4 linked regions of the Caenorhabditis elegans genome follow. The protein of the gene in region 3 interacts with the protein of the main gene of each other region in a biochemical or structural test. Each region holds a gene or a part of one and is shown on either strand. Other genes may lie near its edges.

The links.
Region 1: the proteins of tnc-2 (region 3) and tni-1 interact in far-western blotting, tested with the Caenorhabditis elegans proteins (2 studies listed by BioGRID).
Region 2: the proteins of tnc-2 (region 3) and unc-27 interact in far-western blotting, tested with the Caenorhabditis elegans proteins (2 studies listed by BioGRID).
Region 4: the proteins of tnc-2 (region 3) and tni-4 interact in far-western blotting, tested with the Caenorhabditis elegans proteins (2 studies listed by BioGRID).

What each region holds. Positions count from the first base shown.
Region 1 is NC_003284.9:11,374,515-11,379,991, forward strand, and holds tni-1 (Troponin I 1), read right to left. Parts: upstream 2,957-5,477; 5' UTR 2,948-2,956; coding exon 2,888-2,947; intron 2,842-2,887; coding exon 2,716-2,841; intron 2,672-2,715; coding exon 2,545-2,671; intron 2,499-2,544; coding exon 2,354-2,498; intron 2,271-2,353; coding exon 2,123-2,270; intron 1,794-2,122; coding exon 1,647-1,793; 3' UTR 1,373-1,646; downstream 1-1,372. Other genes in the region: F42E11.3 (Brp/Blh family beta-carotene 15,15'-monooxygenase), read right to left, coding at 85-231, 285-431, 480-558, 605-774, 819-952, 996-1,095. UniProt on the Caenorhabditis elegans protein: Troponin I is the inhibitory subunit of troponin, the thin filament regulatory complex which confers calcium-sensitivity to muscle actomyosin ATPase activity.
Region 2 is NC_003284.9:8,787,043-8,792,213, reverse strand, and holds unc-27 (Troponin I 2), read right to left. Parts: upstream 2,759-5,171; coding exon 2,609-2,758; intron 2,558-2,608; coding exon 2,286-2,557; intron 2,206-2,285; coding exon 2,064-2,205; intron 2,009-2,063; coding exon 1,879-2,008; intron 1,832-1,878; coding exon 1,797-1,831; 3' UTR 1,593-1,796; downstream 1-1,592. Other genes in the region: chup-1 (Cholesterol uptake protein 1), read right to left, coding at 1-49.
Region 3 is NC_003280.10:10,465,209-10,470,405, reverse strand, and holds tnc-2 (Troponin C), read right to left. Parts: upstream 3,555-5,197; 5' UTR 3,470-3,554; coding exon 3,467-3,469; intron 3,390-3,466; coding exon 3,276-3,389; intron 3,174-3,275; coding exon 3,092-3,173; intron 3,043-3,091; coding exon 2,921-3,042; intron 2,461-2,920; coding exon 2,299-2,460; 3' UTR 2,056-2,298; downstream 1-2,055. Other genes in the region: clec-143 (VWFA domain-containing protein), read left to right, coding at 151-190, 239-381, 485-702, 768-866, 914-1,113, 1,343-1,534, 1,595-1,707, 1,758-1,859 and 1 more; sdz-37 (SKN-1 Dependent Zygotic transcript), read right to left, coding at 5,108-5,197.
Region 4 is NC_003282.8:5,201,579-5,208,058, forward strand, and holds tni-4 (Troponin I 4), read left to right. Parts: upstream 1-3,012; 5' UTR 3,013-3,028; coding exon 3,029-3,052; exon of another isoform or gene 3,053-3,073; intron 3,074-3,336; exon of another isoform or gene 3,337-3,357; intron 3,358-3,424; exon of another isoform or gene 3,425-3,445; intron 3,446-3,995; exon of another isoform or gene 3,996-4,016; intron 4,017-4,028; coding exon 4,029-4,269; intron 4,270-4,376; exon of another isoform or gene 4,377-4,398; intron 4,399-4,572; coding exon 4,573-4,717; intron 4,718-4,762; exon of another isoform or gene 4,763-4,783; intron 4,784-5,151; coding exon 5,152-5,326; 3' UTR 5,327-5,546; downstream 5,547-6,480. Other genes in the region: Y59E9AL.36 (RRM domain-containing protein), read right to left, coding at 5,694-6,152, 6,306-6,480. UniProt on the Caenorhabditis elegans protein: Troponin I is the inhibitory subunit of troponin, the thin filament regulatory complex which confers calcium-sensitivity to muscle actomyosin ATPase activity.

The sequences.
Region 1 (5,477 bases), on a different chromosome or scaffold from region 3:
TGAAATTGATTGTTGACCAGGCAAAAATGAATGCATTTGCATACGTGGCAATCCACGTGACCACTTTAAACACCTAAAATTTATTCATTGATTTTTATCGTTTGTTGAATGGTTTGTTACTTCATTCTTATAGAATCCGTAATAGGTTTGTCTTCCAGTGTCAGTCACAGACGACTTGATAGCCAGCATCATTCCTAAGTCGAGCAGATGGAAGATCAGTGTCCCGAAAATCTGTAATAAATCCAATTTATTGATATAACACATTGAGTTTTAATGAGACTCACCTGACTGGACAGCCAGATGTTCATCCGGCGCATATTCAAAACGTCGCGGGCGGTCATGTCTTGGCTGTACAACTGGGCAATCATATGCTTTCGATAAATCCACCAGATTAGAAAGCAGACGACGATCATAAAAAGTTTCATATGATCCTGAAAACAACGATTTCCTAGTTTCTGAGCTTCTCTTGAAAATATTACCGGGGTAATGAAGGAAATGAGGGTAATGATTATTCCGTAAGGTATCAAGTAGGTATGTGCCAGTTTAATTCCGCGTGGACTGAAAAATGTATTTATTAGAATGTTGTTTTGACAGAAACACATACTTTTGATTAGCGAATTGGGCAATTTGAATTATGAGAAAAGCACTGACAACAAACCAATACAAAGGCATTTGAGCCGTTACTAGCCGATCACAAATGGAGATCACAAACTTTGGAATAAATGGAAATGTTGAGTACGTAACATATTCTACCGAGTTGACCATAAAGGAAAACTGAAATTGTGTGATGCTACAGTTTTAAAACTAAAATTGAATACCTTCTGAATGACCAGTGCCGCGCCGAAAGTGATCATTTGAATAATGAAGATCGCTTTGAATGTGTGCTCGGAGATGAAGAATGTTTTTCCGTGAACCAGAAAAATTATCAGGTAGAAAGTGTAAAATAGGAATCCTAAAAACTATAAATGTATTAAAAAAATTGTGAACTAACATACCAAACATTTGTGACAGAAGTTCCAGATAGTGAATCTTCCGAAAAACGTTCAAATCAACTCCTGGGAATTGATTCGCAACTCGTGAGTTGTAGTGGAGCATTTCATCGTAGGATGAAAATTGAACTCTTTCCATATTAAACCAATCTCGAGTTTAACTCAGAATCAAAATGGCTTATCGAGCTCCTTTTATTTCGTCTCAACCCGGTTACACTTGGTGACGTCGGAGAAGGCGGCGATTTGCGTTTCCAGGTGTTTTTGCCTTATTCCCTGTTTCATTTACATTTGTTAGTTTGACAGCTGAAAATCGTTAGGATAATTCACACAAATAGAAATGCCTTTCTGTGCTGCTTTCGAGTTTTGCTCTGTAATTCCGGGTTGGTGATAACTTCATTTATTGCGAATATGCAGAAAAGAATAAGATGGAATATTACTGAAAGAATACAAAGAATGTATACTGGAAATTTTGAAACAGTATAACGGCAGAACAAAACAAATGAAGATTTATAAAAAAGGGCCAAATACCTTTTACATGCACAAAATTTTAAGAATACTCAAACTCAAAAGGCACATAAATTGAATTGATGAAATGTATTATACGCGAGAATGATTAGTTAGATTCAGTGAACAAGATAATGACAACAATGCCGGTATTTATTCCTCGTCGGCTTCTTCTTCTTCTTCTTCTCCCTCAGAAGCAGCAGTTTCTTCTTCCTCAACTGGCTCAATAACTGGTTCTGGGGCGCTTTCTTCCTTCTTCTCTTCCTTCTTCTTGGACCATTCTGGCTTGTCAGATTTCTTCTGAAATGTGGATTATTGTAAATTCAATTCATCAAATATCAATTTGAAAACAATTTTTAAAGTTATGTTGATAAAATAAGTATATGTTTCTGAGTACTACAAATTGATATAATTTATTATTTTGAGTTTTTTGGATTCTAAATGTCAATTTTAAACATTGTATTTAATGTTCTATATTGATGTATTGTTTCAGCCAGTTTTCAATATTGTGAACACAAAATATGTGTTCTAGAAATTTTTCTGGCAGGCTACTTTTTGTTAACATGTTTTTCTTGACAGTTCAAGTAAAAACTAGTTTTATATTCCAGTTAAACTTATTACAAACTTACCTTGTTGGCAATTTGAGTGAAGACGCTCTCTTTCTTTACTGTCTTGAGATTATTTCTCAAGTTCTTGCTTCCATCTTCCTTCTTGGCTTCAGCCATCTTCTTGAACTTGTTGTCATACTTGGACACCTTCTTCAATGATGGTTTTACGCTGAAAATAGTTTTTTCTCATGTCATGCGGAATTGGAGCAGGTGAAAACACACTAGCACTGCTGGGTTTATTTAAAGACATACAATTTTCCACGAAGATCGTTAACCTCAATGTTGAGTTGATTAATTGTAGTTTCAGTCTCTGTGGTGATGTGGTTGATATCATATTTCTCTTCCTCCAAGTTGCAGAGGCGGGAGAACAAATCATTGTAGATAGCCTCGAGCTTAGCTGAAATATACACAATTTTGTTTGTTGCCTAAAGCACTGAACGAACCGTGATCATCAATGCTGTCAACATTTGGAAGAGCAACGGTTCTTTCAGCAAGGACCTTGACTCTTTCTTGTTCCTTCCGCAATTGCTGTGTCTTAAGATCCTCAGCAGCCTTGTTCATAAGAAGCTTCTGAAAATGAATCTGTAAGTGTTGAAAGTCAAATGTTCTCTTACGCGGAGCTTCTTCTTTCTTTCTGGAGTCAAAAATCCTTTCTTCTGTTTCTTTTGTCCTGCTTCTTCAAGGCGCTTGCGCACCTCGGCCTTTTTGGCTTCGCGTTCTTGGGCTTTTCGTTGGGCATCCTGAACAATATCGTTTCAAAAACACAAATGACTTTGTTTTGTTTACCTCGCCATCGGTTTCGTTGGCAGCTCCGCCGTAGCGAATGTTCTCATCAATTTGGCTCATTTTCAAGTCCTTAAATGCAAATTGATTAGAAGCACATTTACAGAAAACAAAGGTTACGACTACTATGGGATGTGCCAAGCAATTGGTGGAAAGCGTTAGAGGTACGGTGGGTGTGAAGGTATTCAAGGGTGTGTGTAAACGTGAGAAAGGGGATTCAAATTGAAAACAGATTGATAGAAGAGGCAAAACCATGAAACGGAATGAGTCTAAAGTGTTTGGGTGTGAGGTTTGCTGGAACGATACGCACACAAACGGTATTTTTATCAGCTCAGTGAATGTTGTTCGAAAAAAAAATAAATAAAGGAAGACTTAGTGATGGGTGTGTTATTAAGCGATTGAAACATTAGTGCAGATCCAACTAACTTTCTAGTCAAAAATTTGAAAGTAAGTGTATATTAAAAAGATAAAAAATGACTGAAATGCATGCGCTCACTTTGGCAGGTTGATGTAAGAAGTGAAGAAGTACGACAACATTGTGTTGGTTACCTTGTATTCAGCCAAGAGATTCTGGAGCAATTGATTACCAAATTTATGACTGTTTTTCAGAAAAAAAACACATTAGGTACATGATCGTCATATATTTCAGACATGGTTTCAAAATTGTTATTGTTGGTAATGAACCAATTTTGGTGCTCCAATAAACACTTTGTCAGTTTAGTTGTAATGTATTGTTCGAACCACTGTAGGAGTATATTACAATAACCTGTACGCCTATCGCAGTACTTTGAAATTTTAAATACATTCTGAAAATTTCAATCTGCAAAATTTTACAAATAACAAACATTACAATTTTTAACGTGGTTATGTGCGAGTGGTGATGTTTAAATTGGGACAGTGCAAGTGCGAGCGAAGTGAACAGAGGGAGAAAATAATATCGGAAAACATAAGATTTTCGAAGTTAGAAGCGCAAAGACATGTTAGGTGAAAAAAGGTAATGGAAGCTATAGGGGAAGTTAAAATTAAACAATGAATTTATGGTGGAATGGCCATCACCAACTGATTCAGTGCGAGTGTTTTAGTTTTTGAAACCAAAAACGTGAAGGTGAGAGTTGTTAGTTGAGCGGATGTTGTTAGGAAGCAAGGAAAGGTGGTGGATAGAAGGACAATAATTGTAGTTGAAAGGAAAATTCGAAGTGAGTGAAGTGCTCTGCAGAAGCTCTGAGAACAAAATGAGCATACACCATTTTTTCGCGAGGGCTTCCGAAACTGACAGCTTAAGCGGTAATTATCGTGTAATGGCTTTCTTGAAAGGCGTTTCATTGCGTGTTTTGTTAGCCTCGGTCATGAATCTGACAGCGAATAGTAATCAAATTATAATACTAAAAATGAAATTTTCGGATCTAAGAATTGGTGGTAGAAACAATTTTACGTTGCTCAAAACATACAAATTTGAAGTAGTAGTGCGTGAAAAACGACGACTGATGTGAGTGAATAGAAAGACTTCAAAACGAGAAGTGAGCACAAATAAAAATTTAATGAAGGTCTTATTATGTAGCTAGAGGCAGGAAAAGGGGAGAGAATACTGAATACTCAGTTTTGGTTGAAGTAGTTTCTTTTTTCATCATAGATTGAGTGAGCAAAAATATATTTATTAAAAAGTATATGATTTGATTCTCATTCCAGACAAGTCTCGAGTTTTTGTAATGGAAAAGAAACAAAACTCTGAAAGTAAGTTTTGAAATTAAAATATGCAGAAGAAGCACAGTTGAATGGGCTGAAAACGAAATGAGTTGAACTAGAAGACATAAATGGGAAAAGGGATAGAAAGAAGAAGCATAAGATGACGAAGAAGAAGGAAAGGGGAAGAAAAAGAAATAAGAAGATTCTGGAATGAAGAATGGGAATAGCTTTCGATGTGCCGTCGCATTGCGGGGGTTGCTGAGATTTGATTTGCGAGTGCTTGGCTGCGATCAGACAGAATGTATTGAAGTAGCATCAAAAAACTGGAGGAGGTGGCAGGAGAGCAAAAGACAGGACACACGGCTGGTGTCAGTTGGCTGGCTCGCCGAATAGTACAATGTGTGGCGGCCTGGAGCTGGACATTAAAGACATCAGAGCTCGGGCAACGTTTTGATGGGATTTCAGTGCTCTCCTGGAATCGCGTTGTGTCTTCTACTCCTCTGATCATTTGTTTCGAGAAGAGCAACGCTAAGCTCCGTGGATCGTGTTGTAATACTCATTTTGATGTGCCCTTCAATTCGACGCAGTAACAGCAAAAATAAAACGTGGCGGACCTCTCTGCCCACCCACCCATATGTTGTATTAGCTTCCTGATCAAATGTGTCAATGGAAAACACAGATAGAAAAAGGCCGAACTTTTTATCTATGTCTATTAAATTTGAAAAAACTGGGAGGTGAAAATAAAAACTGTTGATATGTGAGAAGAATATTGAATCAATGAACAATTCATTTGAATTCATTAAAAACGTGTAAAAGTTTTACATGTAACAAAACTTGTATTAGTGATCTTTCGATTTCCCCACCGTTGCTATATTGACGGAATAAAATGTGGAATAGTTCCAGTGAGAAA
Region 2 (5,171 bases), on a different chromosome or scaffold from region 3:
TCACCGAATCCAAAAAAATCAATATGAAAATCGCCTGTGAGGTCCTCATAGCGCCTGAAATTGACTTAATATTTCGACTAATTTCGTAAATATAACTGGAAGTCTGAGAAACTGCAAAAATTTCAAGACAAAAAGCACATAAATCTAGTTTTTCTGTGTTTTTCCAAGAAAAATCCGATAATCCACAGCTCGCGTAAATCGACAAGAGTAGTGCAGTAGAGCGCACTCGCTGGGTTCCCTCGTGTACAGGCAAGTGGCAGATGTTATGTGAACGATGATGTGGACGACAGAGAAATGGACAACAGTTATGGAAAACCGAAATTGACAAAGAGAAAGAGGATGTTGAAAATACAATTTAAATTGAAAAACAAAAAGTACACAGTGTACCTGAAAGTGAAAGTCTGATAAAACACGACCAGAGACTATTTTGCAAAAAATTATGAAATAAATGAGTTGATTGAAACTTGAAACTTGTGAATTACGTCACTATGAATGAAATATGAACTCAGTAAAAGGTAATTTGTTTTGTTCTACTTTTAAAAAAATGAATAAATACTTGTTTTTATTTCAATTCTCTAGAACTCCAATACATTAAAAATTTTTTTTTTGCTGAAATGACGTCAGAAATGACGTCTAAAACTGTTATATAACATTATACATTAACAATTAATCCCTAACTTTTGGTAAATTTTATTCAAAATTTCTTTTGGGAAATCACAGGCTCATACGATGCACTAAAACTGTTTCAAAAATTTGAACAGTACTGAAAATGAATCATGTGGTCTTAATATTTACCTGTACGGTGCAGATCTTTGCTGATGACAACGCGTGAGGAACAATGATGAAACATAACTTTCACACGTAGCACACATGGCAACCGGTTTTGTTCAAAAAAAACCTTTCCGAACGATCATTAACACTTATCAAGTATGTTTAATGAAAACATTTAAACTTTGCCATTTAAATAATCTTAAAAATGTTCCCCAATTAGATTTGAATTAATCTTTGAAAACTGATAGGAAAAACTTGTCTGATACCAGTTTTTTTTTGTTTATTAGACTCAGTAATATACTAGTACAGTACTTTTGGAAAACTATTGACTTTTCATTGAAATGTGCTCTCCTGTTTGCTTTTCCAAGCTATCAACTTCCCTTGATTTTCTCCATAGATCACGATAATCTTCAAATTTACTGCAGCATTGTATCATAACAGCTAAACTGTGAATATGAATATTGCTGATTAAGTTCTGCACAATTAAAAGAGATATTTTCATGTATCAATTTTCAACAGATGGAAACTTGATCGAAATTTTGAAATTGCAAGAACAGTTTTTTTGGCGTCTGTGGTGTTGAATGTTGTGAGTGTTTCAAAATTGTGTCAAAAATATTTGAAATACTTTTTGAAACGTTATCTGACAAATGAGTTTGTCAAAGCGTCCCAAAATTATTCGCACTATTCTTAGAGCCCAGGAGAGTGATCCTCTCATGTTTTCCTCCCACGTTCTCCTTCACTTATCACTTTTAACCAGACACTCCCTACTACACTTCACACTTCCTTCTCATATTTCTTCAAGGATTCAAACACACAAGTCTGACCACCAAGATTTTATTAGCACACACGTTGTTGACATTTAAATTTCCGGGACCCATCGAAGGAAGAATAAAATGGTAAAAAAGTATTTTACAAACTACAGAATATTGATGTTGGCATATTTTTTTTTGGGGAGGGGGGTTGTTCGGTTTGATGACGTCGATTTGGATGATGTTGAGCAGGATTGAAGTGATGGATTTAGGAGTTTACTCCTCCTCCTCCTCCTCTCCTTCCTCTTCCTCTGCAAGTTTTCAGTTATCGAGAAAATCTAAATCATTTTTGACAAACCGGCTTCTGGCTCAGCCTCGGCTTCCTCTGCAACTGGCTCAGCTTCTGGAGCAACGGCAGCTGGAGCGGAGTCTTCGGCCTTGGCATCCTTGTTCTTCTTGGACCAATCTGGCTTGTCGTCCTTCTTCTTCTGAAATTGAAATATTTGTTTATCAAAATTCTCGAACATTGCAGATAAAACTTACAACATTGACGATGGCCTCCATAACGTCCTTCTTGACAATCTTGAGGTTGGCACGGAAGTCTTCCTTGGTTCCGGCCTTGCTCTCACCGCTCTTCTTGAACTTGTTGTCGTACTTCGACACCTTCTTGAGTGAAGGCTTGACGCTGAAAAATAAAAAGTAAAATCAATACTTTGGATGATTTTACATATATGGGAAATTCATCAAAAACTGATAAAAACTCACAACTTTCCACGAAGATCGTTGACCTCAATAGTGAGGGAGTTGATCTCAGCCTCAGTCTGGGAGACGACGTAGTTGATGTCGTACTTCTCCTCCTCGAGCTGGGTAAGACGAGCCCAGAGGTCATTGTAGATCTTCTCGAGTTGTCCCTTATCATCAATGGAGTCAACATTTGGAAGTGAGATGGTTCTGTCAGCAAGAGCCTTTTGTCTTTCTTGCTCCTTAAGCAATTGTTGTCTCTTAAGATCCTCGGCGGCCTTGACCATCAAAAGCTTCTGAAATCAAAAATAAGTTAAACATTTAAGTGTTCCAAAAACACAACTTACACGAAGCTTCTTCTTACGCTCTGGTGTCAAGAATCCCTTCTTGGCCTTCTTCTTGTTTCCGGCCTCTTCGAGACGCTTGCGCACCTCGGCCTTCTTGGCCTCGCGCTCGGCAGCTTTGCGCTGGGCGTCCTCTCCGGCTTCTTCACTCATCTGAAATTTTAGTTTGGGGTACAAGTATCACAAAACAGAAGATTAAATTCACAAAATGAATAATTTTTGAATGAGCATAAAACAAATTAGCGGCGAGCCTGATCATGCATCCGAAGGCCTTGTGAATTGAAATCTGAAGTATCCTGCCAATAGATGTCGCAACTCGTGAGAGGTACCTAGAGTTGGCAACAGCCGCCCCACAAACCGCCCGCCCTCCAATTCTGTATCTTTGGGTCTCTCGGACAATGCCATACAGACAGATGCTCTTTCCAACACGTCTCCCGCTTGTTGTAATGATTCTTGCCTACCAATTGCGTTGGCCGAGATTGATTGAAGACAAGCGAGAGATAGGGATAGAGCTGTGGCAACTTCAGTGGAAAAAACCAACGGAACGCGGCAAGAAGATATTGGTTTCAGATGGGGCAGTGGGTCAAGTTATGAGCTATTCGGTGAATGGGGCTCCGAACAATTTATGAAGCTAGTCTGTAGTTTTTCTGTATTTTCAAAAAGAAGATATGTGATCAAAAATCAAAATCGTACTACTAAAAATACCTAAACAATTTTTAAAATAACATACTGATTTTTCAACGGTGTCACTGAGTTCATCAATTCGATTGCTTTTTTGTAGTTGTGACATGGCTCGCTAGTGAGATCTGTAAATATTTGTTGGATAAATTGTTTCAAAAGTGAATTGGAACATGACATTTTTCATCAGAATCAAGAATAATTTTATTTATTTTTTCACAGTGTTTTGTTTTCAACCATTTCTCTTTCAGTTCCATAATTTCATGCTGTCACGTAGGATTTGAGTAGGTCAGAAAACAAAAAAACCTAAAAAAAAATTGACAAGCTGACAAGTGTGACGTGTGGAAAAATACAATAAAAATAGTCACGGTGGCCGGTGAGACTCTCTTGAAATTCAATATGTTAGGGACCATGAGTTGAAAGTGTTGCGAGGTGTGGGCAGATGTTTGAGATTTGTGATAAGTGATAAAGAAAAAAGATAGCGGGGATAATGAAATTGGGTATGCAAATCATCATTAGTTATCACAAAAAGTTGAATATTATTACTTTCAAATTGAATTTATCAGTTGTTATCATAAAGTAGTTATTTTTGACAAGACTATAAAATAAGTGAATCTAAATCATTAAAAAAATCACACATTCAAAAATCAGATCACAACGAGAAAAATCTACATTTTCCAACAATGGTAAATAACAACCCGAAACTTGTAAATAAATTCCAATTCCCTGTAACTATTTTCACACCCATTTTAGTTTATGGAGTAGTGATGGATTAAACCGATCTATTGTCCTGTTTATTTTTAACACTTTTTTCCATAAACATTCACATTCTTATCTTGAATTGTTTTCAACTGTGTTATCACGCTTTTCTGCCAATCTCCGAATAGTTTACACTGTTTTCTTCTGATGCGGCAAGCTCTATCTTTCTTTTGATACATTGTTCATTGCAACGAGTATATAGAGAAAGAGAAACATCGGAAGAAGATACAGAAAAATAGCTGATGGAGGCGATGATGATGTTTTGGTTAAAAACGTTGAGCAGTAGTGGGGGCACAAGTGTTACGAAATATTATTATACATGAGCGGTTGTCATATGGGTAAATTAATTGGCACTACCGAACTTTTACAGCTTACAATTTTTTACTTTTAGAAAATTATTTCTTGATTGCTATCAAGGAATAATTTTCATTAGAAGTAGTGTCCTCAGTGAGGTATAACTAATAATGAGCTAAATTGGGTATAAATAAAGTAATATTGGAACTTGATCACATAATCCCTGTTCAGTTGTATGTATTGGAAGTAGGTGTTGGAGCTTGCACAAATTCTCGAAATTATCCTAAAAACTCAAACTTTCCGTAAACAAAATTCACCACAGCTTCGCATTAAAATTTTTTAGAAATTCAAAAATCCTAGGAGTGTTAAATTATGACATTTGGTTATTTTGGACAAGTATAAGTGAGAGAAGGAAAAATGTGCGAGTGCTATTTTACTCATTTCGGATCTTTATTATTATCAAGAGCGCATTTATACGTTCTTGGTTAGTGACAGTATGATTAAAAAAATTTATATCGGTTTGTTGTCAAAACTTCAAAAAAAGTTTGTATAAACAATACGCTCACTCAATACGTATCGACAACTCCTCGTTCAAAAAGTAATATTAATGTACGTTTGATCACTTAAAAGCAGGATATCAAAATATTTTTATTGTTTACAATTTAAGCTGCTTTGTGAAATTTACAAAAGAGATTTATTGCAAAATCTTTAAAACCAGATGAAAATGTTATTGTGAAAAATGGATAGCAAAAGGTTAACAATGTAAGCATGAGATATGAGATTTGATGTAAATTAATATTGATATCAAATTTAAAAAAAAAATAGAGATTCAATT
Region 3 (5,197 bases):
GTATTTCCATTTGTGTTCTTATCACTTTTCAAAAAAGATGATAATAGCGAGGAGCAAGTGATGATGACAAGCAATCTAGAAACAAGAAATGGGTATTTAAGAAAGTTTAAATGCTATCGAAAATGTCGAAAAGTTGAAGTTGATCAAAAAATGAGTACACTCGTCATATTTTTAACGTTGGCAGTTGTAGGTGAGGTTTCGACAGTTAACCAGACATGAATTTAAATATTTTTTTTAGGTACACTATGTTCACCGGTTCTACAGAACTCAGCAGCAGTCTATGCTGACCGGGTATGCCAGGGAGATATCAAAAACTTGTGGTTGGACGTAGTTGTAGTTGTTGATAAGTCTCAACTGATGACAAATGCACAGCTCTGGCAGGTTAGTTGTAATTTTTAAAAATCAAAGTTTTTCTTTAATTTGAAAGTTTAAAAAAATCTTAAATTATTTCCCAAATGTCCAAATTAACAAACAATGTTTTTAGGTCAGAAATACCATTACTCAATTATTTGGCTCATCTCGAATCGGTCCAACTAAATACCCAGCGGATCCTCGTAGTACATGTGTTGGAGTTGTGACGTATGATTCCGATGCTACCACAAACGCTCAATTGGACGGACCACACAGTTTCACTGATTTGTACAATGTGGTTCAAGGATCATTGAACAACGTCGATTCTACAAATTCGTCGTATTTGAGCAAGTGAGTTGAGATCTTCATTAAAAAAAAAGTAACTCGCACAAGTTTCAAAACTCACCAACTTTCAGAGGACTTCTGGCGGCTGAGCAAGCACTCAAGAATGGGCGTAGCCGCACATATCGGTTCAACTTTCTGAAAGTTGTTATAGTTTTTGCAGCTGATTATCAGTAAGCTGGAAAGAATGATGTAACATTACTAAAAAGTTAAATTTCAGAGGATCAGGAACCTCTAATGATGCATTCCCAATTGCTAGACGCATGAAATATGACAATACTATTATCATTACGGTAGCGTGCACAACGAATCAAGCAGCATTGGATGGATTAGCACAGATTTCTAGTCCTCAATTCAGTTTAGTGGATGAGATGAATACTTCTAAATTGGTTAAACAGTTGACAACGGCGCTATTGAGCAGTACGTTATATATTTTTACGTTAACTAACTGAAAAATGCATAATGACTATTATGTCTGTGGCATCATATCATTAGAAATCTCTTGAAACTATCTAATTGGAATTAATATGCATTCAACATTCATAGAGAACCAAAGATTGTAATCGTTGGTTGGATGTAACATACCTGGGTAATTTATCACATTAGTCAAATTATAGTTGAGTACGAATTCAAACAACAACTATTTCAGTCAACTGCTTCTGCCCAGAAAACTGGGTTCAGTTTACTGGCAACGGAACTCAATACGGAGTTTGTCTTCGAGGATTTACTGCAACTGGCGGAAGTTACGGTTACCAACATGCCATCGATTATTGTGCCAGTGAAGTTAAAAATGCTCACTTAGCAAATGAGTTCAGTCAGGCCAAACACGATTTTATGCAAAGTGAGATTAAACTTCAAAAACTAAGCATTTCAGCAAAATTACCTATAAATTAATTTCCAGTTCTCATGGCAATTTCGTTCCCCAAGTACAAGCCATTGGAATACTACATTGGATTACGTAACTTGGGAAATCAGTGGCTCTGGGAGCAGCCTCAAGGCCAGGACATGATTCCGGTACTTTATAGATTTTGTTATTTGTGTTTGAAAAATATTGTGTGTTTCAGCTTAATCCACTGATCTATTCAAAGTGGGCTCCAGGATTTCCACAAGCAAATTCTACGAACCAAGTTATTTCGACACAACCATTGCAGGAGGGATCTACTGATGTAAGTCGTTTTGCAACATGAATTTTGCAATATCTTTCAACAAATGAATTTTTATATCGTTGATACGGTACTTCAATATTTTCCTTAAATCTTGTTACAGTTCTTCTGGGCTCCACCTCAGACCAATGATTGGCTCTTCATCTGTCAAGTTCAAGCAAGCAGCACAGAATACTACACTACGTATTTGGAAAATTGATGATCAATTTTATTTTATAAATTTTATTCTTAATCATTACTTGTTCTAACATCAAAAGGGTCGACTACATGGGAATTTTTTTACAATATTTTTTTGAGATTTCTTTTATTTTTTTTATCAACTTTTATCAAATAAATTGAAAGCATGAAAATGTAAGATTTGTTGTTTTTTACAAAAAGAATTATTGGAAGTCAGTGAATGGTAAGGCGCCGTCAGAAATCATTGGTAGGATAAAAATTAAAATTATTCTCCAGACATCATTTCCATGAACTCATCGAAATCGACAGTTCCGGAACCGTCAGCATCAATTTCAGCAATCATTTCGTCGAGCTCTTCCTCTGAAACATTATCGTCAAGAGCACGGAGAATGTCACGAAGATCTGAGACGTTGATATATCCGTTTCCCTGAAAGTTAAAATTTAGGCTTTAAAATTATATTTTCTTCAATTTCAATGGTTCAGACTGTAAAAGAAATATTGATGACATACCGTATTTTTTCTCTTGAACCATCACTCAACTTTGATGGCTACTATCTTGGTTGTCTTTAGTTCTATTTTTGAAAAATTACTATCAGAATTTGGAGAAATATTTTGTACATACTTTGCCAGTTGACAATTTTTGATTAAACTAATGAAAACCGAGATATAAGCTGACAACGTGAAAAAAGGTCATGCTCAAGAATTCAACAAATTATTAGTTTACAACAAACAAAGTTTTCAAAAAGAATTTCAGAATTCACATAATTTCAAATAGAAGAAATACATAGGACAAAAGTATTGACTTTTTTCATATTTTTCTCAAGATTTACTTCTCTCCTTTCATTTTCCCTAAAAATATTAGAAACCAAAATTGCAAATAAACATACTTCTTTGTCGTAAAGACGGAAAGCCTCGCGAAGCTCCTCCTCGAGTCCTTCGTCGTTCTCATTGTTGACAACAAAGTTGGCAACCATAGCGGCGAACTCTTCGAACTCAATCTCTCCGGAACCTGAAAAAGGATTGGTACTGTAGATTTATGGCCGGTGGGGGAAGTATACCATCAGCATCGAACTCCTTGATGAGCTGTTTCAAGTCACGCTCTTCGAAGGCTTGTCCCATGGTACGGAGGATTTGTCCGACCTGGAATTTCAGAGTTTAACAATTTCTTGGGAGTATTTTAAGAAAAATTCAAGAAATTCCAATTTGAACAGCAATTTGCTACAAAATTAAAACTCCACAAACCTGGGTAGCACGAATATATCCTTTTCCCTCTTTATCGAACATGTTAAAGTATTTACGGAATTGCTCGATCTGATCGGCAGAAAGCTTTTCCAAAGCATCAGCAACGACGTCTCCCTACAAAATTGCACATATTCACAGATTTATTTATAGACATAATTAGCTACAAATTACCAATAAAACAAAACTCTTACCATGATTGATGATTGACCTGATCGACACGAGGAAAAGTTTCTTCGACAAAATGCGAAAAGAGAGGGAAAATCCACAAACTGCTCAAGTGGCTTACAGCGCGGGAGGAGCTCTAACGAGAGCACACAATGCGTCGGCGGGGGATGTGTTTGGATATTGGAGACAGACTGTTAAAATGTGTGAGATGTAGACATAAAAAGGCACTGTGCAGGGATACAGCCGGATAGAAGTAGAACTCGGGGGCTCGGAGATAGGTAAACTGATAGAGCATTGGTGGGTACAGTTGAAGGCATTTTTGAAGTATTCGGGGAAAGAGTAAGTCAATGTGTTACTACTATAGAAACTTCCAATAGTATTGGGCAGTTTATCATCTGAAAATTTTGAAAAAAACGAATGTGCTACAAAATACTAGCTTAAAGTAATTGGAGTAATTGGAAATTTTCGATGGTGGAACTAGCAAAAAAATTTTATTCAGAAATGTATTGTATTCAATTAGTATTGAAAGCGTGGTCGTTTGAAGTGAAAAACAACTTTTAAATTATAGCCACTTATTTAATTATATAGCCACTTATTTAATTATAGCCACTTATTTAATTATAGCCACTTATTTACTTATAGCCACTTATTTAACTTATAGCCACTTATTTAAAACATACGTTGCCCCCATCATAAACTATTGCTCTGAGATCTACTCCCCTTCCCCCAACTCCTCACTCTCTGCCATACTTGAAAAACCGCTTAGGACCTTCACCAACCGCGTCCTGCAAAGGTGCAACGTTAAATTCACCTCTTACGAAAACAGACTGTGCATCATGGAACTATTCTCCACCAGACACACTAGAATTAAAGCTCAAATGAAACTATTATATAGACTTCTTACCGGTTCTACTCATTTCTCTAAATTAACTCAGTTTGTCAAGTTCTCTAATTCCAATAGGAGACCCATGATTCTGGTTAGGAAAGACACATGCACCTCTCATTTCTTTGCCAAATCCATTCCTATTTGGAACAATCTTGTCAAAAATATACCGGTATTTCTCTCCCCCTATCAGTTTTCAAGTTTTCTCGATCTCAATATTCCCCGGTATTAACTTTTATCCGCTGGTTCTCTTTGACTTCTAACTGATCTCTTCTACCACATTACCCTCTCTCTCCTTTCCCGTCCCAAACTCGAGACGTACTCTTTCTGGGTTAGTCTCGTTTTACCGTTTTATTTAACACTCAAAATTCAATTGTACAGTTGTAAATTGCATTAGTTATGTTAAATAAATCAATCAATCATCTGAAAATTTTGAAAAAAACGAATGTGCTACAAAATACTAGCTTAAAGTAATTGGAGTAATTGGAATTTTCGATGGTGGAACTAGCAAAAAAATTTTATTCAGAAATGTATTGTATTCAATTAGTATTGAAAGCGTGGTCGTTTGAAGTGAAAAACAACTTTTAATTAGTCTGATTAATTTATTAAAACAATTGAGTAAAAGTACAGTTGTTAAAAATTGAGAAAACCAATACAGAAAAAATACCGGACAGAAATTTTGTAATCATTTCCAAGAAAAAGTACAATTATAAAAACCGAACCTGGATATCAGAAAAACCGACTAAACTGTTTGAGGAAAAATAAATAAAAATAATTAATAATATTAAACTGAAACACGGGATTTCTTCTTGATTTCCTTGACAAGTTCTGGATTGTAGAATGGATTGGCAACGAGTTTCACTGGAGATTGAGC
Region 4 (6,480 bases), on a different chromosome or scaffold from region 3:
AAATCACTGGAAAAGCTATGTATCAAATTAAAACGTTTATTAGTGCAGAATTTTAAGGTGAAAACGAAACGGCGGAAATATAAAATTAGAAAAATTTCTAACCCGAGAATTTTGAGTTTTTTATTTTTTCAATGCGATACTTGCCATATTAGATATTGTGGAAGGTTCATTGCTAATAAATGTTTTTCAAAATCATATGATGGACTCGAAATTGTTTTCAGATATTTGAAGATACAAGTGGATTTTGTTTTGATAATAATAATAATAATTATTATTATTATTATTATTATTATTATTATGTTTCACATTCTTAATAACTTTCAATAGTTGTTTTGGACTTGCTGCGTTGATTATTTGCAAAACTAATTTTCGAATGTTCAATAATTTTGGTAATTTGCCATTTTTGTAGAAAACTTAACTTGATACCGTTTAAACAATACACAAGTGCCAACAATACAAACTTTCCAATATTTCAACAATTATTTAAGCTCAATTCGCCAAAAAATGTCAAATTTTCTGACGTTACCGCAAAGTATTGCTGGGAAGTTTCGCAGAAATCGGAAATTTTGGGGGATTTTTCTAATTCTATAAATATTTGCCCTTAAAACATTCGACTTTATTGCGGGCTTACTATTAGGGAAAATATTTACTTTTTCAGATATTTTGATATCGCAGTGATTATTTGAAGAAAAATTTCTATGTGAAAAAATATTAGGGCTTTGAAACATTACTGAGACACTTAATTTTGTTTTTGTAATTTTACTGTTTTACGTTTGCCATTTACTACCAAAGCTATTCGTCAGATAGTTGGTCGTCGATCAGGCAAAGTTAGAACTAGCAAGTTTTGGAACTGCAATAATCTTAAGTTTTGAGGTTCCACCAACGACTGGTTACAAGTTATTTTTTGCAAACGATGACTTTATTGTGGGTCCAAAAGAGTATTTCACAATTTTCCGATGTTATCGTATCCCGGTAATACGATGAATATGACTTATAGGTTCACTTGAAAATGCAACATTTCACCCCTCCTTTTTAACAAAAAAGATTGTCTCTAAAGAAACCCGCATGATGATGAGTACTTTGTTCCACCCCCACCTTCATAAAGCTCTTCTCTCCCATCATAGTAGCATATAGACGCAGAGAAAATAGCCGGATTTCTGTAGCTTTAAAATGGGAAAAGAGAGAGATAGTAATCAAACAAGCTCGCGCACAAAATGACAACTCTTGAGAAGTTTTCCCTTTCTCTCTTTCTATCCCCCAAACCCTATGATTATATCAGACAAAACGTGGGCTATCTTGCGCTACGAGATAGAGGCAAAAGTGCGTGGTAGGCAGAAGGCAGGTGGAGCCATTTGAAAAATGAAAAATATGTTACCGTGGGAACATATACCAACAATTACGGTTTCATCAAGGCGATATAAGTGTTTAAATCTTTCAGCGAAACTTCATTAAAACTTTCCGGACAATCATCTGCTACCCAGTTTTGAATTTTCTTATTAAAATACGGTGCCCAGTCTTACTGAAGTTCCCAAATTATGGAATTTTTTACAAGTCAAGGTTTAAAAATCGAAGAAAAATTGGCAACGACAGGGGTGGGGTCTATAGTACTATTTAAACGCGCAAATTTTTTGAATTCAACAAAATTTGCAATTGTATTTATTAAACATAATCGTATATTTTTTTGATTACTGTGAACAGTGAGAACTGCAAAAAAAATGTATTTGAAACCTTTGGACAACTTATCATATTTTTTACGGAAACTTGTACCTTCAAGTCGTGTTGTAACAAAAAATATTTTTGAGCCTCAAATCATATTTGATTTCAAACTAGTTTCTAATAGTAAGATAAAACTTGTTAGAGAAACTGAATTTATTTTCCGGTATTTTTTTTATTTTCATCATAATTTTAAATCTCCTACAGCAGTTAATGACTTATTGAAGCATTAATTAAAACGAGTACCAAAATTGATTGCCTTCAATTAAAAAAGTAGCAATCTGAAAGCTACAAAGCTCACATGTGAAGCTTTCTATGTTGTCAAAAATTCAGCAGCTGATTGGCGGTAGGCACAGTCATAAGGCAGGCAGGCAGATATTTTTCTGCCTACGTGGAATCAACTGAACATACATTTTACTGGTATAAAAATAACAGGCGATTTCCAATCATGATTCACAGTTCCCATTTTAAGCTTGTTGTTGTCCTGATAGAATTTAAATAATTTACTGTTTCTTCGATAAAATAATAGGAAATTTTTTAAAGCAAGTTAATTTATCATAGTAACGAAGTTATCATTTTGAAATGCTAAAAATTTAGTTTCTTTCAGTAGAAATATTGTCTTGATACTTTTTTTGGTCTGAAAATTTACTTTTCAGTGTCAGGCTTTTTCAGCAAAAACTAGAAGTTTTTCTAGGAACCTTGGAAATTCAAATTTTTTACTATTAGTTTTCAGTTTTAAACAAGCTTATGATTATTATACCCATAAGAAAATAATCATTTGCCTTTAAAAATGTTTCAGTTCTCATAAAATTATCTACTTCTATTCAAGAACCAAAGCAGCAACCATTTTTAATATAATTTTTTCTCACTTCAACTCCAATCCCTTCCATTTTTTTTTCCAACAATTCCCTTGACTGCAACAGACTGAGGATATTCTCAAGCACCCGCTTCTTCCCGTGATGCTCTAAATCTCTCAATAATCCATACTATTTCCATGTTACTGTAACTGAAGAGGAGGTGGTGGGAGGCGCCGGGATCCCCCTTTCGCAAATATCTTCCTCTCGTCTCTTCATTTTCCGTGCTATTTCGAAAACACACTTACCAGGCAATCGGGAAAAGCCGAGCCAATTCAGTTTCTCCGAGCAAATTTCTTGGCATTTTCGCCGTGTCCCCCACACTTTTTCGTTATCTTTTCTTTGTCTCAACCCAACTTTTACCGTTTCACAGCAATCAATGATTCATCTCGTAGATCTTGTTCTGATTGGGATCTTCTTTAAATTACGTATTAAATTATTTCAGGTGATAACCAATAACCATGAGTGACGTTGACGCTGATGAGGTGAGTCGTGGTTTTATTTCATTGCAAAGATAAAAATTGATTTGAATTTGTAAAACACATGAAACAGTAATTTTGTAAACTTTTTGGTAAACCAAAAAAAGTTTCCAGCCTTATCCCCCACATATGGATGCAGAAGTAAGTCTAGACAGTTGAAAATTTTAAGTACAGATTTGGTTTTTTTGTTGGAAATGGTTTTTATTGAGTTATTTTATATTTTTTCTTGAAATCTGAAAGAAAATTTGAGATAGTTTTTACTTGTAAAAATGAAAATATTTCCAGTGTTTTTGGGATAAACCCTTCAATAAACATGAAACTGTTTTAATTCATAAATTAACAACAATCTGAAACTGTAACAGTTTTTGAAATAGAAATGAATTAGTGGGAAACAATGCATTCGTTTACTATAATGTGACTGTAATTTGTGGGCTCGTTGAAACAATATATATATATATATATATATATTTATTCGACTAGTTTGAAAATTGTGAGCTTTGGTATAAAAAATTAGTAAAATTTAAAAAAAACGTGTTTGTGAACAAGCAAGATCTTACTAAGACCTTACTTACTAAGACGAAGCGATTGCTTTGGCGCGACTGTATATGTTCATATTATTTATATAAAAACATAGTGTTTATAGTTAGAAACATTTTTGGTTATAGTTTTTTTGAAACAGTAACTTTAAAATAAATAAAAAATTGTTCACCTTTTTGATGTATAGTGATTGTAAATGATTCATATACTTGTTGAAACTGTTTATAATGTCTTTTACTTAGTTGAAAAGCGAATTACATAAAAGCTGCCGTTACAAGACCCCATAAAGATTTTAAATACTCAGTAAGTATATTTTTAATATTAAGGATTTTTTGTTCTGCAAAATATTTTTGGTTCACCCTTGTCATGTTTCGTCTTCAGTTCAAATATTGAGTTACCGTAACCGCCATATTCCCATTTCCGTACCTCAAATTCACATTTCTAGGCGCGCAAAATGGCGGAGCGCGAGCGCAAGAAGGAAGAGGTGCGTAAGCGTCTCGAGGAGGCCTCAAGAATGAAGAAAGCCAAGAAAGGATTCTTGACACCTGAGAGAAAGAAGAAGCTTCGTAAGCTTTTGATGATGAAGGCCGCCGAAGATTTGAAGCAACAACAAATGTTGAAAGAGCAAGAGAGACAACGTATTCTTCAAGAAAGAATCATTCCACTTCCAGATTTGGATAACGAAGGTAAGTGTTCTGAAGATGAAAACAACTATTTTATGCTACTTTTGGATATCAGTAAAATGCAATTATGTATGAAAATATAGAACAAAACACTTAATTTAGTAATTAAAGAACATTTTGCTAGGATGTCAATACCTCTCCAAAATACGTTTGGTTAAATAGAAAATACGAAACAGTAAAATTTTTAAATAAAAACTTGAATTTTTTAAATCTAATAGACTACTTTAAAAAGTGTTAAAACTCTGTAAAAACTTCATAATTCCGGGCGGTTACCTACATGAGTTTTATCTTTATTAAATTTTCCAGATGACCTCGAGGCAGTCTACGATGAAATCCGCGAGAGACTCATCGATCTTGAGTCTGAAAACTATGACGTCAGCTACATCGTTCGTCAAAAGGATTTCGAGATCAACGAGTTGACCATTGCTGTCAACGATCTTCGCGGAAAATTGTTCGTTTTTTATATTTTTTGAGTTTTTGGGGGTATTCATTTTAACCACATAATTATTGGATGGCACTGAGAAAATACTTTTCGCCATTTTTGATATTACTATCTTGAAACGGGAAATTTTTTCAAATGGAAATAGGAAAATTAATTACGAAAATGACACCAAATCAAAAAATATTGATATTGTAGAAAATTTTGAGAACTGTTAGCTTCACCAATTTCGGGTCCTGACACGAACGCAAACTTTTCAGCTACAGTACACGGGAGTATACAGTTCATTTTTAGCTTCATAGAGCGAATGTTCATATGATACCCAGATGCGAAAATTTACAATTTTTAACGCAAAATACATATCAATCCCGGTCTCGACAGGACCGAATGTTGAAACGGCAAAAAATTAAAGTTTCATCCAAAAAATAAAAATTTAAAATTTCCAGCGTGAAGCCAACCCTGAAGAAGGTGTCCAAGACCGAGGGAAAATTCGACAAGCTTAAGAAGAAGGAAGCCACCAAAGTCGATTTCCGTGCTCAACTCAAGGTTGTCGACAAGAACGAATTCGCACTCGATGAGGAAGACACTGAGAAGAAGGAGAAAGCCGCGTGGGCTAAGTAATTTCCAATAAAATCATTGAAAATTTCGGATAACTGGCACCCCCTGGAAACGTCTCGTCAAATTCAACTCGATCAATCCCTTCCCATCCTAAAAAATTCTCCTTCTTTATAAAAATTTCACCTTCGCATATCCATCGCCCTATCCATTTGCTTTCTTGTTCCTGTATTTTTTGTCTAAAAATTGTGCTCTGAAACAACAAGAATAAATCAAAAAACAATATATTATACAAAAAAATCGGGATGAATAGTTCATAAAAATTGATTGATGTAGATCTAGAGATTGAACCGTGGTTTTTTTCTTGAAATTTTAACAGGGAAATGGCATGTGTGGGGATTTTACAATAATTATTAGAAAATACATTTTTAAATTAAAACTCCATATCGGGAACTTCAATAGCTTGATCTTCTCTCATTCGTTCTTGTTCCAGCCTGATCAACTCTTGCCATTGTCGCTTCATTTCCAGATACTTTTTCAACGAAAAAACTTGAATCGTCTCGAAAAATCTTCGAACCTGGCCTCCTGGAATGTACTTGGCAAGTTTTCGGCACATTTTCTTCCTCTTCCTCCGCCGATTCTTCTTCTTCTTGACAAGTTCTGGTTTCTCAATACCTTCCTCCTTTTTTGTTGGCGGTTTTTTCTTCTTCGGTTTTTCTTTTTTCGACTTTTTCTTCCTCTTGTTTCGTGATCGCTCAATATTGATGTGGTATGGAATTGGATTTTGTAGACTTTCGGAAGTCGAAGGGGCTTCGTCTTCAGGTGAAGTTGGAGGAGGAGCACGACCAGTTGAGCATGATGGGATAGAAGTCGACGGGGAGAATGCAGATTCCTGGAAATAGTTAGTTTAAGAATTATTTTCCCTTTTAATTAATGTATTTTTTAATTGTGGAGTAGCGTCGGTGGTTTTTGTTGCTCTAAATAACAGAAAATAGTTTGAAAATACCGAATTTAACTGTTAAAAAATTCATAGAAGGTTTCGTACAATTTGAGTTTTCAGATTTTTCCTGATCCTCTTCCTCGGTTGAATGGCTCCTGATTTTCGGAGACACGCAAATTCTCGACGTTTCAGCTCAGCAAACCTTCTTTCCAACTTTCTCAATCTCATATACATTGGCCACGGCCTCCGCTTTCGTCGCATTTTTAAAAACCGAATTTCT